2 linked regions of the Astyanax mexicanus genome follow. The protein of the gene in region 1 interacts with the protein of each later gene in a pairwise test. Links are inferred from orthologs where the notes say so. Each region holds a gene or a part of one and is shown on either strand. Other genes may lie near its edges.

Region 1 (7,820 bases):
GGAGTTCCTTTAAGCTATTCCTGTGTGTGTGCGCGTGTGTGTGTGTGAGAGAGAAACAGAAGGACTTGAAAGGCTTGAAAGACTGTGTACTGAACTCTCTGCTTGAGTACAGCACCTCATCTGACCTAAGATATCTTTGGCTAGCCCACACGTTTAGATGTGTAGAACATGTGTGTTGGAGTTTATGGTCTTGAGGAAAGCATGCAATTAGGCCTAACTGTGGTGATACACGTATTGAAGTGATGATTGTACCTTTATTTATGAATTGACTATATTTTTCTGACTTAAAACAGTTTTAAGTGACCACTGCTTGCACCTATATTTGGTAACCGAAGCAGTAACATGTTCAATAGTTATTTAACCCTGTTTAGCAAAGTTATACTCTTCCTCCTTTTAATGAAGATGATATTTCGAAACACAACATTCATCACTTTATCATTTCTAGAAACCCTCAGTCTGACCAAAAACAGAAAAATAGAAATAGAGGTGACAAATCATTTGTGTTTTATCCTTTCCCTGATTAAATAAAACAACATATCAATAAAACATATAACATCTGTAAAAAACTAAGGTAAACAACACAGTGCATGCAACAAGATTAAAATCTTTGTTCATCTTATTTCATACAGCAGTAAAAAAAATGGTAGCAACACCCTTGGAAGCAATCTGTGATGCCATAACTCCACCCTTCGAAACAACTACTGAGCATCACCTTAGCAACCACCTACTATACAAAACAACAAAACAGCTTTGAAACAAACTAGCCTAAAGATACTACTGTAAAGCAACAAGAATAGAAGCTAAACATAAAAATCATGGTTGCTCACAAAAAAGCACCAGAGACACAAACACACAAGTAAACATACATTCCAATACTACAGTTCCATTCTGTGGTTCAGAAAATTCACATTTGTGAGCCTGATTTTAGTCAGTTTGACACACAGACCAGAACTGAACCTAAACCCACTCTTTGCTGACCATCAATGCTATAAAATGACGAGTTAATGTACAGACAGCTTGGATACCTTATGTTCATATGGAGGTGGCGCAGGCCCCTGCCAGGGTGGAGGATGTGGAGGTCGGACGTGGTTAGCATGGTTAGCGTATGGCCCGTGAGCTGGCTGGGTGCCAGGCTGCCACTGCTGTTGAGGCTGTGTTGGCCCATATCCGCCTGAATGGGGCCAGGCTTCAGGCTGGGGCCTTGAGTGCATGGCCTGCTGGGTGGGATACCCAGGGTTGGAGGGGCATCCATCTCCATAGTGTGGGTACGAATTAGGGGGATATCCAGGACCCTGCAAGAACAGTGAACAAGAACAGAGGCTGTACTATTAAACCTTAAAAACGTATGTGTTTAGCTGGCCAGTCATATCAAAAGCTGTGACCTTTACTATACGATATAACGAATGATACCACTAAAAACATGAGCAAACATAAAAGGTTAAATAGTGGATCATCACCTACCCCTTGGCAATGCGGTACAGCATAGGGAGGCTGAGTAGAATTCCCCGCGGGCCGATCAGCGCAGCCCTGATTATGATACTGAGGTGGTTGCCGTGGAGGAATCTGCTCACTGCAGTAGAACGGATTGGATGGGTGCATCATATTGGCTGAGTACTGTCCTGGATTGTACACCCCATTGGGATAGCCTGACATTGCCTGAAATAAAGGCACAGCAGTTTGATTTTCATAAAAAGTATATATACCAAACACCTTTAATACTCTAATATAATTAGTATTACTCTAATACAATTAATCTACTATGAATCTGCAGTCTGTGTAATTTTAACAGTATGAAGGCAATAATTGTAGCATGATTTTATGTCAGTATTAATCAGTGCATTAGTCAGTGTATTTTTTTTTATCCAGTGTGAATCTGCAAAAAAACTTTAAGCACTGTGTTAAGACAAGAAGGAAGATGTGGTACTGTACCTGGGGATTGTACGGTGCTTGTCCATTGACCTCTGCTCCAGAGGGGTATGTGTTACTATACGGTCCAGCAGTATGCGAATGAGGGTACCAGTAGTTTGGTGGATAGCCACAATATGGATTAGAGTCCTGCCGTAAAGCAGAAATTACATGATGTTAGTCCTATAGTAGTTGTCACCACTATATTAGTGGTTCACCATATGGCTGAATTGAAGAAATAATACAAATTATTTTGTAACATTACTTTTACATTAACTGTACATATGTTTATCCTTCTCTAGCCCATATTATAAGCTGCCTCTTGTTTTCTCCTCAATGTTGGTACATCATTAAGGCTGATGCCACTACTTGCATGGCAATTTCCCATATTCTGCGAATTTTCCTTTGTTTGTTATGATGTTATTTTTGTTCCTGCTATCTCTTTTCCCTGTTTTTTGCTTTTAAACCCTGGCTATTATTCTTTCACAGCAGGATGATTCTGCATGACAGCATGGGACTGTTCAGCCTTTAAGGACTTATGGACACCACTTTCATCAGTACTAATATTTAGCATGTGTTCTGCAGTTACTCAGATTTTTATAATACATGACCTGTTTTTACAATAAGCACAAATTGAAATAATAAAGTACTATTTGACCACTCATTCTGCAGTCACTTTTGGACCCAGATCTCTGCAGAGCTGCTCTATGACAACATTTGCTGTAAAGAATTGAAATTTATTTTAAGTGTGACTGTTTTAATCAATTAAAAAACAACGAAGCCGACATAGTAAAGGTTTCTTTATGCTAACTGTATAGAAATAAAAATAGGTATCAGATCTGAAAGGCATTATTTCAGTACAGAACAGAAGCACTCAGGAAGCTTTGGTTCTCCAACACTGAAGATAAGGTGCACTTAGGTTACAACTTTACCAGTAGTGTAGGGATACATTTGGTAAATTCTGACAGTATTATATCGCTGCTATGCAGAAAATGGGATAATTTAGGATATCCAACTTTTATTAACAACCCAAACACACTAGCAAACCTAGCTATAGCTAACTGCTTGTATAAAGGCCACCTAATTTTACGCAATAAGTCCTGTTTCTCTAGATAACCAACTTGCTGACCAAAGCCAGCAATGGCCGGTCTGATAACTTATTCAACTAAACTACAAACTTAGGCAATAAAACGAACATCTCTCTGCAAAGTAAATCAGGGTTGTATATTTATGTGAGCTAGCTAACTACATAGAAAACACACTAGGTTAACATGTCAACGCTACTACAGTTTAAGTGAAGGTTAGTAACTGAAGTGCTGGCAATAGCTGGTAAGAGATGCTATGCTAAAGCTAATTGAATAGGACGGCACAGTTTGCTCAAAGTCAGCTGCGTAAACTTTTACACAAAGTGAATTAAAACCGTGTATTATTAAGATGCATTTGTATTAAATGTAAATAAAACGTTAAGCTGCTTCTGTATGAATGATACACTGGTGTCAAACACAGCTTAGCTTAGCGTAGTTTAGCTTAGCTTAGCTTAGCCTAGCCTAGCCCCGGTTCTTACCATCGCTCCGCTCCAGCTGCTCTCCGGGTTGTACCCGGGGCTCCAGCCCGCTTTCGGCTGCTGCATGTGCCGCTGCTGTTGCAGTAGCCACGCCGCCTCCCCGCTTCTCTCCGCTCCGGCTGAGTCGTAGGCCATCCACTGCTAACAGCACGTTATTGGTATTAATATGATTATTTTTATTATTACTAATTCATTAACCCATCATTCTCGCCATCGTGTCGGGTGTAGCTGCAGTGTGACTGAATCTGCGCGGTGCTGTAGCCTGACCTGAGCAATTAAATATTTATTTAAATCTTATAACGTATTCATATATATATTTTTTATGGCAAAAATTATTGTAAAAGCGCGTTACTGATATCCTTCTTTAGCTCTACAGTTCAATTAATTAAACATATTCACGCATAACAGCAAAGTGCTGCTGACTGTCACAGAAAAAAGCAAGCAGCCAATCACAAATAGGGACAGGAATATCTAGCCAATCACAATGTGCACAAAAACGAGCTAGCCAATCACAAGCTGGGTTACAATGTACGTTGCTTTATATGTATTTTAATCAATCGAATCGAAGCATTAAAAATATAATATAACTCTTTGCTTTTGAAAAAATTAATTGGATAAAATATTGTAAAATATATTTTCTGCATAAATAATACAAATCCCAAGGATAAATGACATACTTAAAATTATATATTTGTTATTCCGTGATATTTCGAGATATGTTTAGATGTTAAGATGTTTCTGTGCCTTGTCAGGGGTACAAAATGTATTTATAAATTTGAAATACAAAATATATTGATACTCTTTTTTTTTAGAGAGTTCTATATTATAAAGTAAACGATATCTTATTTTATGTATGATTATGATTTTGTAAAATCAAAATTAGTTTGTTTATTTTTTATCTGTAACTATAATTTCTGTCATAAGCTCTGATTCAACATTTAATTGTTAAAGTTACTGTATTTTGACAACCTTGTTCTTGAGACGGTAGCTTCCAAATCAGTTGGAGTGAAGCAAAATGTAAAATACAGCTAAAGGATTAAACAGAAATAGATCACAAACATAGTAAATGAACATAAATAAATAAATAAATAACAGTTACAAAGGAAATAACAGATAAAATCTCTAATAAATAAATACGTGGGAAGAAAGCACTACAAAATAAAAGCATAATAATTAAAATAATTATTAAGCTTATAGATAAATGATAAAAAAAAATGCATGGTGCGTTTAAATTAACATTACATATAAATAAAACTGCAAAAAAAATCTCAAAAACGAATATAAAACATATCTTTTGTAAAAAGATTTGTTTTATAAAATGCGAGTGGGCCCTTTAAAGGGGTGAGCGTGCCCCGGAAGCTGTGCTATAAGAGCGCTGCTGCTGTAGTTAGTTTGGGTGCCAGGAGGTTTGATATCACACTGTCTCTAGGTTTTTTGTGCTTTAAACTCCCCGCATGTCTGCAGGATGAATTACATGCCAGGCACCGCCAGCCTCATTGAGGACATCGACAGTAAGTTAAAAGCTCCGCTGGGCTTTACTACCCAGCCTAAAGCCGCTGGAACTCCAAATAGCTGCGTTGTAATTGGAATTGTTCGGTCCACCTTAAATGGTGCAGTGATTATATTCTGAGTCCAGCTAGCACAGTAATGTACCTGCTGCCCTATTTAAGGTGGAGTGGAAATTTAAAGCAATTAGCTATCTTAAACTTTCTTACTGCTAAAGATAATCTAAGTGTGTTTAATCTTGCGTTTCTGACCACGAACTGTGTACAATTTATACATATTGTATTTTTTTTCTCTACACCTCATTCCTCCCAAGATGAACCTGGAGGTGGTCTTCAGGGTTTGGGCCATTAGATAGCTAGCTAGATCGCTAACAACTACAACCACTTAAGTACTTGCAAATTAAACCTTTATAGACTTGCTAAAATGCTAAAAGTTAAATATAACACAGCTGGAGCTGGCGAACATTGAACTAGCTCTTTATGAATTCTTAGGATGACATAACAAATCCAAGGAAGGCTGTTTTGTGTGACTTATTTTGCCAGTTTTGTTGTTGCATGAAACTGTATAAATGTCTTTTAAGCAAATAAGCTTTCTGTCTGTCTGATCTGTTTTTGTTTTTCTTCCAGAAAAGCACCTTGTTCTGCTCAGAGATGGGAGAACACTGATTGGGATCCTCAGAAGTATAGATCAGTTTGGTAAGTAGATCCAGTGTTCAGTGAAGTAAAATAACAGATCCAAGTGAACCACTCAGTATGATCAGTATAATATATTTATATGTACACCAGTGTTTCCCACTGAACTGACACCCATTAAAATGAGCTTACTAAAGTTCCTCAGAGTTGGATTAAGAGGCGTTAGGTGTGCTTGGCAGTAGTTGGACATCGTTTAAGTTGTTCCATGCTTCACTTTTATTCGATGCCCTTTCACAATGAAGTGGTAACCTGCCTTTAGCATGGATGCACTGATCTATATTATATGGTACATCTATTTTAAAACTGCTTGAGGGTGCATAGAATATAAAGCCATGGTGCTAACTACCGAATAACAAATGATCTCACTGCATTAGCAGCACGGTCAGTATTTGAAGTTTATTTGCATCAGTATTGTTCTGCCCATCCTTGTCAGTTGTATGTTATTCATTAACAGGTTGTTAATATTTGATCTCTGTTCTCTTTAACAGCAAATTTAGTTTTGCATCAAACAGTGGAACGTATCCACGTTGGTAAGAAGTTTGGAGACATACCCCGAGGGATCTTTGTTGTCAGAGGAGAAAATGTTGTCTTACTTGGAGAAGTAGTAAGTTTACACAGTTTTTGTTTATTTTTCTTTCTGGAAATGTTTCCATTAAAATAAGATTAAGCAAAATGAGTCATGGTATTAAACATAAGCCTTGTTTGTTGTTGCTAGGATTGACAGGCTTTAGAGAATGCTGGGGAAATATCAGTCAACCTAATGAAGGGCTATAGTGTGAATAGTACCTTGGTGTGTAACACAGTACCTGCATTAAGGGCCAAATACCTGGCCAAGGATTAATTCTAGTCATGGACTCAATGGAAATTTAAAATGTAAAAGGTAAATAAGAGAAACTTGTTAATGTTAAATATTAACACCCTGCTGTGGGAAATTTGGGAATTATTTTGGTACCAGGGGTTGAGCTTACCTTTAACCTTTTAATACGGTGGACTGACCAAATCAGTGTGGCTGCATTGTGCGCACTTTTTTTTTTTTTTTTTTCCCCACAACTATGATCTGGGTGCAATAAACATGATGTAGAATAATACTATTTTATTGGACGGGTAAGGAGGAGAGCTGAGATGTGTTATGAATGAGGGGAATTTAAGAAGCATGTTTTATTGGAATTTAACCTACACTCTCCTGTTTGGATTTGTTTATTGTCTGCTCTGTAGGACCTAGATAAAGAATGTGATCAGATCCTTCAGAGAGTTTCCATTGAGGAAATTCTGGAGGAGCAGCGGGTGGAGCAGCAGGCAAAGCAGGAGTCTGAGAAGCGGAAACTACAGGCAGTAAAGGAGCGAGGCTTGTCCATCCCTAAAGCAGACACATTGGATGATTTCTGAGACGCCTTTAGGTTAATTTTTTTTGCTTGTTTTGTTTTCAGTTTTAGTGAGTATTACACACGTGACCTTCAATGAATGCATCACAGAAGACTGTGATCATGACCGTTTTTGTTTTTATGTAAGTCATGCTCTGCGTGACCATTACCATCTTTTCCTTTACGGCCGATGGTGCCGTATTGAAACTGAAGATGGACCAAACGGAAGCACTTGGCCTGCTGGCTTTTATTTTGAACTTTGTAGAGAAGAATAATGGAACCTTAAACTCAGTGTTTGTGTCGTTGAGGTGATGTTATGGTGGCGTTTATGTTGGTATGCTATGTTAAATCACGCTAAACAGCACTGAAGATATTTTTGTTCTATTAAACCTATTTTGTACTGAATAATATTGAGTGGTTTCCTTTGTGCGACAAATGATTTGTGAAATGCAGTCTGTTCTTGCCTGATTGCATTTTATTAACCACCTTTCCAGTTCTTTACTTACCTTAAGGGGAGCCAGTTTACATGAAAACAAAATATATAAAACTAACCTTTTCTATAATTGTATGATGTTGGGTTGAGAATATTTTAAGAGAAGCATTCAATTCCACACTTATGTTGTGACTTTTCAAGTACTTCTCCAGCGTTACTTGCTAGCTTGCAGTGTCTGTGTAATTCCCTCATTTGCCTTATGGTGTCGCCAAATACTGAAAACAAGTTATGTTTTAGAGAAATGTACCAAACTTAATCTTGTTCACAGTGGTGGTGAATGAAATCGTATCAAACTAGTT
Region 2 (6,833 bases), on another chromosome or scaffold:
TTTAAAGTATTTTAAAATAATGATATAACAGTTTACTTAATGATAAGAAAAAAAATGTGCAGGATTTTTTGTTGTTGTTAATTTTACATGTCAGGGCTTCCATAGTATGGAATTAGTCCCATATAGGAATATGCATTCTTTTTTTAGATTATTATAATGCTGATTGTAACCCATTTCCCCCCAAATTGGAAGGCCACTTACCATATTTTTTGCACTATAAGGCGCAAAAACCAAGCTGAACTGCTTGAATTTTTGCACCAGGAGTAAAGGCATAAAGCTATCCAAAAGCAGTGTGTAAGACTGGTGGAGGAGAACATGATGCCAAGATGCATGAAAACTGTGATTAAAAACCAGGGTTATTCCACCAAATATTGAATTCTGAACTCTTAAAACTTTATGAATATGAACTCTGAAGTTCTGTATCATTTTTTTTATTTCAAACATTTCTCATTTTCTGCAAATAAATGCTCTAAATGACAATATTTATATTTGGAATTTGGGAGAAATGTTATCTGTAGTTTATAGAATAAAGCAACAATGTTCATTTACTTATAAATATAAAATCAGAGAAACTGATTCAGAAACTGAAATGCGCTCTTAATTTTTTTCCAGAGTTATATGTGAAGTTAGACTCCACCCCTTTTCCACCTGCAGTTAATCAAAGCAGCATCACCTAGCAGCCAAAACTGACTCTTAATGCTCTCATAACTTGGGATCTGTATTTACTGATTGAACAGTGAAGCACCTCTGTAAGTCTTTCAGGATAAAAGCCTCTGCTGAATGACGTAAATGTAAAAGTAGGAGTTAAAGGTCATTCCAAGTAATCCGCGACAATACCCGCTATGCAAATACTGAATATTTGAATTGGACTTTGCATCTTTAGTCATTTACAGCCTACAACACATTGGCTAGACAAACAACCATTATATAAAATATAATGGAATACCCAATGGAAGGTAGCCTGGTGGGCAAGACTACAAACTGGTGGTATCTATCTATCTATCTATCTATCTATCTATCTATCTATCTATCTATCTATCTATCTATCTATCTATCTATCTATCTATCTATCTATATAATTCCAAACCATCCAGCTGAACAAACTACTAATGTTTTTTTAACACTCTGAAGAACCATTATTTAAGTATCCAGATGGTGTGTAGTACCATTGGCATTACTAAAGCACTGTTTAAAATTGTATTGTCTATTGTCGTGTTCATAATACAGACAAAGACTCCAGATGACATCACCTTTAGACAACACCACGACACCATGGCTACCATATGTCACTCTGGGTGGTCACATGACTGTGTGACTAACACAAATGTTTTGGGGGGGTGTATGTATTAAATTATTCAACACCAACTTTTTAACCTTGCAGTGCATTAGAGAAATACAGTACGTTATTGCGTAAAAGATACTAAACACTTTAAAGAAAAGTCTTGCATAGCTACGATAAGATAAGAGTAAGATATGTTGCTTTTTTCTTTTACTTTACAAACATCTGACCAGCCTTATCTGCAAGGACTGAGGACTAGTCAAGGTCTGACCGCTCTGATAAAACCTGTGGTAATACTGTACATACTGTATATACAGCACAACCTGGCTAAGAGGCTAAAAGCTAATGCTAGGTTGATAAGAGAAGGGAGAAGGATTGATTGCATGCAGACTGCAGGCTAACATATGCTAGGACTAAACCTAATCAAGCCAATTGGCTATAATCTCGTAAGTTATGATAAACAAATACTGTACTGATTGGACAACGAGAGCATGGCAACACAATCCAGTATGATTTAGAAATATAAGGGATGCACCAGAACGAATATATTTGGCTAAAATCAAAACCAAACAACATAAAACACTTGTCTAAAAGACAAATATTTAATATTAAATATTTTCAGCTGTTCTTTAAAGAAATTACAATTTAAAAATATTTATTAAACACACACCTCACGCACAATGTATGGACAGTTGACTGTTGTCAGGGTTTAAATCGGTCTGGGGGGTACCGTCTTCCTATGACAAGCTCAAGCTGTAGCCTGAACTCCAGCCCAAAGTTCCCTCAGTTTCCTACCCTATTGTTAACCTCAGTAGTGCTTTTCTAATCATTAATTTACTCCAGAAGTGCATGTTTAGTCACAAATGTGCCTCAGTAGTGCCACTTAAATCACATGTGAAGGAAATGTTCCTAGATGAAGGCAGCTAAGCATTACCTAAGCTAATGTTATTATCCTAGCCCTGTACAGCTTGTATTTTTAGCTGGAAAAAAATATATAGTAAAGAAAGAACAGATTGGATGCTGTACGCTTCACTTTGACATCACTAAAAACATGTGTAACAGTGTTAGGCTAGTTTGTGTTAGGCTATGCTAAAAGTCTTACACAAAGCTTTTACATTCACTACTGTGTTATACTCCACAACCTTCCTTTTTACTGATTGTCTGCATCTAAAAAAAAGCTTATTTAAGGTCTATTTGGACTTAAATAATCAACTGTACACCAAAATCTGTACAATTTATCAATTTAGCAAGGAGCCTGGCCAACTATTATCCCTTCTATTGCACCAAAAGCACAAATGAACAACACCAGAGGGCGCCACAGTGAAGTGATAATGTTTATAATGGACTTTTAGAGTTCTGGAATTTTTTCGGATTGACTAACCTTCATTTCTTAAAGTCATATTTTATTTATTTAGTTGAGTAGTTGTTGCCTCTCATAATCTGGATTAGAGCATTACTCAAATATTCACAATTCACTGTATACCTGTAACTCTACCTCTTCACTACTTTACTTTAACTGATGCTCTCAAACACTTTATTAAGAGACAAGAAATTCAAGTAATTAACTCCTGATGAGTTCGGCACAGCTGTTAACTGAAAGCCTGAATTCCAGGTGACTTAACAATAAAACGTTTTTTTTTATATATACCATATATTTTAATGGCTTTTTAATATTAGGACTATGTACATTTTAAAATTTGAATTATGTAAAAAATATATATTTTTTAAATAGCGAGTTTTACAAACTTTATCATGTTTATTAATTACGATCCCACATCATGCAATTGGATTAGCTGCTGTAGCCTTGCCTGCTGTGCTGGGATTGGCTAAGAAACCACCCTTCTTTCACAATGTATCCAATCATGTTGCAGAGAGGGTGGGACTTTCAGGGTTTTTTTTTCATAGTACCTTATATTTCATGCTACATTTATATGATAAAATGTTTATTTTTTTTCTTGATTTGTCTTAGTCAGTTTACAGATTTCTATTGTTTTTTTTTTTACATTTTATAACAAAATAAAACCTAATAAAAAATCTATCACAAAATAAAACTGCAGTAACATATGAAATTATCACAATATTTTTATTGTAGCTTTAGCTTAAAAAAATACCCTGAAATAGCGTGATATTATTTTATGCCAATATCATCCTCCTTTAATATATACTATAAATAAAACTAAATAAATGTCTATAGTCAACAACATGACTTTTGTTACCTTAGGTTTTTTTTATATATATAAGATTTAATTTATTTTTTTATTTATAGCGAGTTTTACCAACAGTTCCTGCAATGGGATTGGCTGATGTAACCTTAACTGCTGCACTGTGATTGGCTAAGAATCCACCCTTCTTTCGCAATGTCTCCAATCAGAAACCAGAGGGGGTGGGACTTTCTCGTTCTTGAACGGCGGGATGCTCTTGATGTACAATCAGCCCAGCCAATCAGCTTCTCGTTCTGGAACGCAGAAGTAAACCCACGAGCGAATCAGAGCGCAGGGCGGCGTGGCCTGTCTGAATACAGGTGTGTTAAGAAAAGTGTAGGAACGGAAGTTAAGTCGACTCGGAGGAGCGGCGCGTGCTGGTTTTAAGCGCAGCAGAACTTATTAAATTAATTACTATTAATATTCCGGGTTATTTGAGGGTTTTGGAGACTTTAGAGCATCATGAGCGACGAGGGTCAGCCGGAAGTGGAGCTTTTCGTCAAGGTGAGTTTGAGTTTCTTTAGGTTTCTCTATCTAAACTGTGTTTAAATTGGTTTTAAACTGGTTTCAGAGCCAGAAGTGAGGATAATTTGGTTTAATCATGGCTCAGACTGGCAGGTATATCAGTTAATGGTCTGATTAGAGGTGTGGAAGGTGGAGAAAGCTCTGTAGAATAAACTATCAGAGATAAGGATGAGGATAAGCAGAGCCAGGTGCAGCTCCCACAGCCTGCTCACCTGTGCAGACTGGTCAGATCCTCAGCACCAGCTGATCTGTACTGGGTTCTGGTGTGGTGGTGGTTCTGCTGGGTCAGTACTGGTCTGGATGGAAGGAGGTGGTGGTGGAGCTGGGCTGGGTTTTGAGGCGTTGGCGCTCGAGAGGAAACGCTGCGAGCTGCAGTTCACCCTCAAACACAGGCTGGAGTGTGTGTGTGTGTGTGTGTATGTGTGTGTGTGTGTGTGTGTGTGTGTGTGTGTGTGTGTGTGTGTGTGTGTGTGTGTGTGTGTGTGTGTGCGCCCGTATGAAAGCAGGCATTGTGTACTGGCACAGTTCTGAAGGCCAGAAAGCAGCTTTAGTGCTCCAGTGTCCAACAGCCCAGAAAAGAAGAGCAGCACTCAGAGCAGGTCAGCTAGAACAGACCATAATATTCACTAGTATAATAGTGTAAAACAAAAAAAAACCCCTCAAATTTTAAAGTTTCCATAATAATAGAATAAAAGGAATAATCAGAAAAGTACATTTTCTCTAGAAATGCAGAATGGTTGTGCAGCTAAACTGATTCGGACTGGTTCTGATTGCTGTGGGGTTGCTAATTATTTACTTGGTGGTTGCTAAGGTGTTGTGGAATGTTTGCTTGGTGGTTGGTAAGTGGTTACTAATGTGTTACTTAGTGGATAGTAAGGTTTTTCTATGTGGTTGCAAAGGTGTTCCTATGCTGTTCAAAAGTTGTTGCTAGATGGTTGCTATGGTGTTGCTAGGTAGTTGAACAGCCCGAAAAAAAGGAGAGCACTCAGAGCAGGTCAGCTAGAACAGACCATAATATTCACTAGTATAATAGTTAAAAAAAACAGAAACCACCAATATTAAAGTTACCATAATAATAAAACAACAAGGATAACCAAAAAAGTACATGTTCCCTAGGAGACACAGTATGGTTGTGCAGCTAAAGTGATTCGCACTGGTTGCTGTAGTAACCCAGGTGGCTGCTGTGGGGTTGTGAGGTGTTTTCTAAATGGCTACTAATTTGTTACTTGTTGGCTGATCAGGTGTTTCTGTGTGGTTGCAAAGGTGTTACTATGCGGCCAATATGTTGTTGCTAGATGGTTGCTATGGTGTTGCTAGGTAGTCCAACAGCCCAGAAAAGAAGAGCAGCAATCAGAGCAGGTCAGCTAGAACAGACCATAATATTCACTAGTATAATAGTTAAAAAAAAAAAAAATCAGAAACCACCAATATTAAAGTTTCCATAATAATAAAACAACAAGGATAACCAGAAAAGTACATGTTCTCTAGGAGACACAGAATGGTTGTGCAGCTGAACTGATTCACACTGGTTGCTGTGGTAACCCAGGTGGTTGCTGTGGGGTTGCGAGTTGTTTTTTTTTCAAGTGGCTAATAATTTGTTACTTGGTGGCTGATCAGGTGTTGCTATGTGCTTGCAAAAGTGCTACTATGCGGTCCATAAGTTCTTGCTAGATGGTTGCTATGGTAATGTGCTGGCTGCTGTGGCATTGCTAAGTGGTTGCTAGGTAGTTGAACAGCACAAACAGGAAAAGGAGCACTTAGAGCATGGTCAGTTAGAACAGACCATAATATTTATTACTATAACAGTAAAAAACGAAATAAAAAGAAACCACCAATATTAAAGTTTCCATAATAATAAAACAACAAGAATAACCAGAAAAGTGCATTTCTCTAGGAAATACAGAATGGTTGTGCAGCTGAAGTGATTTGCACCCATTGCTGTGGTAACCCAGGTGGTTGCTGTAGGTTTGCTAAGTAGTTATTTGCTGGTTGCTAAGGTTTTGCAGAGTGTTTGCTAGGAGGTTGCTAAGTGGTAACTAATTTGTTACTTAGTGGTTGCAAAGGTGTTACTAAGCAGCCAATATGTTGTTGCTAGATGATTGCTATGGTGTTGCTAGGTAGTTGAACAGCCCAGAAAAGAAGAAAAGCACTCAGAGCAGATCAGCTAGAACAAACCATAATATTCACCAGTATATTAGAAAAAATCAGAAACCACTAATATTAAAGTTACCATAATAATAAAACAACAAGGATACCTAAAAAAGACCTTTTTCTCTAGGAAATGCAGAATGGTTTTGCAGCTAAAGTAATTTGCACTGGTTGCTGTGGTAACTCAGGTGGATGATGTGGGGTTGCTATAAGGTGTTGCAAAGTGTTTGATAAGTGGCTACTAATTTGTTACTTGGTGGCTACTAAGGTGTTGCTATGTGATTACAGAGGTGTTACTATGCGATCGATATGTTGTTGCTAGATGGTTGCTATGGTGTTGCTAAGGTGGTATGATTGCTATGGTAATGTGTTGACTGCTGTGGCGTTGCTAAGTGGTTGCTAGGTAGTTGAACAGCACAAACAGGACGAAAAGCACTCAGAGCAGGTCAACTAGAACAGACCATAATATTCATTACTATAACAGTAAACAACACAATAAACAGAAACTACTAAAATATTAAAGTTACCGTAATAATAAAATAACAAGGATAACTAGAAAATGACATTTTCTTTAGGAAATGCAGAATGGTTGTGCAGCTAAAGTTATTTACACTGGTTGCTGTGGTAACCCAGGTGGTTGTTGTGTGGTCGCTATAAGATGTGGCCGAGTGTTTGCTAGG

The links.
Region 2: the proteins of lsm1 (region 1) and clic1 interact in binary tests that used the Homo sapiens proteins (3 or more experiments, as listed by UniProt). The link is inferred for Astyanax mexicanus from reciprocal best matches to the Homo sapiens genes LSM1 and CLIC1.

Annotation. Positions count from the first base shown.
Region 1 is NC_064419.1:32,067,279-32,075,098, reverse strand, and holds lsm1 (U6 snRNA-associated Sm-like protein LSm1), read left to right. Parts: upstream 1-4,817; 5' UTR 4,818-4,934; coding exon 4,935-4,980; intron 4,981-5,601; coding exon 5,602-5,670; intron 5,671-6,155; coding exon 6,156-6,271; intron 6,272-6,882; coding exon 6,883-7,053; 3' UTR 7,054-7,436; downstream 7,437-7,820. Other genes in the region: bag4 (BAG family molecular chaperone regulator 4), read right to left, coding at 1,026-1,292, 1,462-1,656, 1,930-2,055, 3,470-3,604. UniProt on the Homo sapiens protein: Plays a role in the degradation of histone mRNAs, the only eukaryotic mRNAs that are not polyadenylated. Probably also part of an LSm subunits-containing complex involved in the general process of mRNA degradation.
Region 2 is NC_064409.1:76,647,657-76,654,489, reverse strand, and holds the start of clic1 (chloride intracellular channel protein 1), read left to right. Parts: upstream 1-3,816; 5' UTR 3,817-3,942; coding exon 3,943-3,984; intron 3,985-6,833. UniProt on the Homo sapiens protein: In the soluble state, catalyzes glutaredoxin-like thiol disulfide exchange reactions with reduced glutathione as electron donor. Reduces selenite and dehydroascorbate and may act as an antioxidant during oxidative stress response.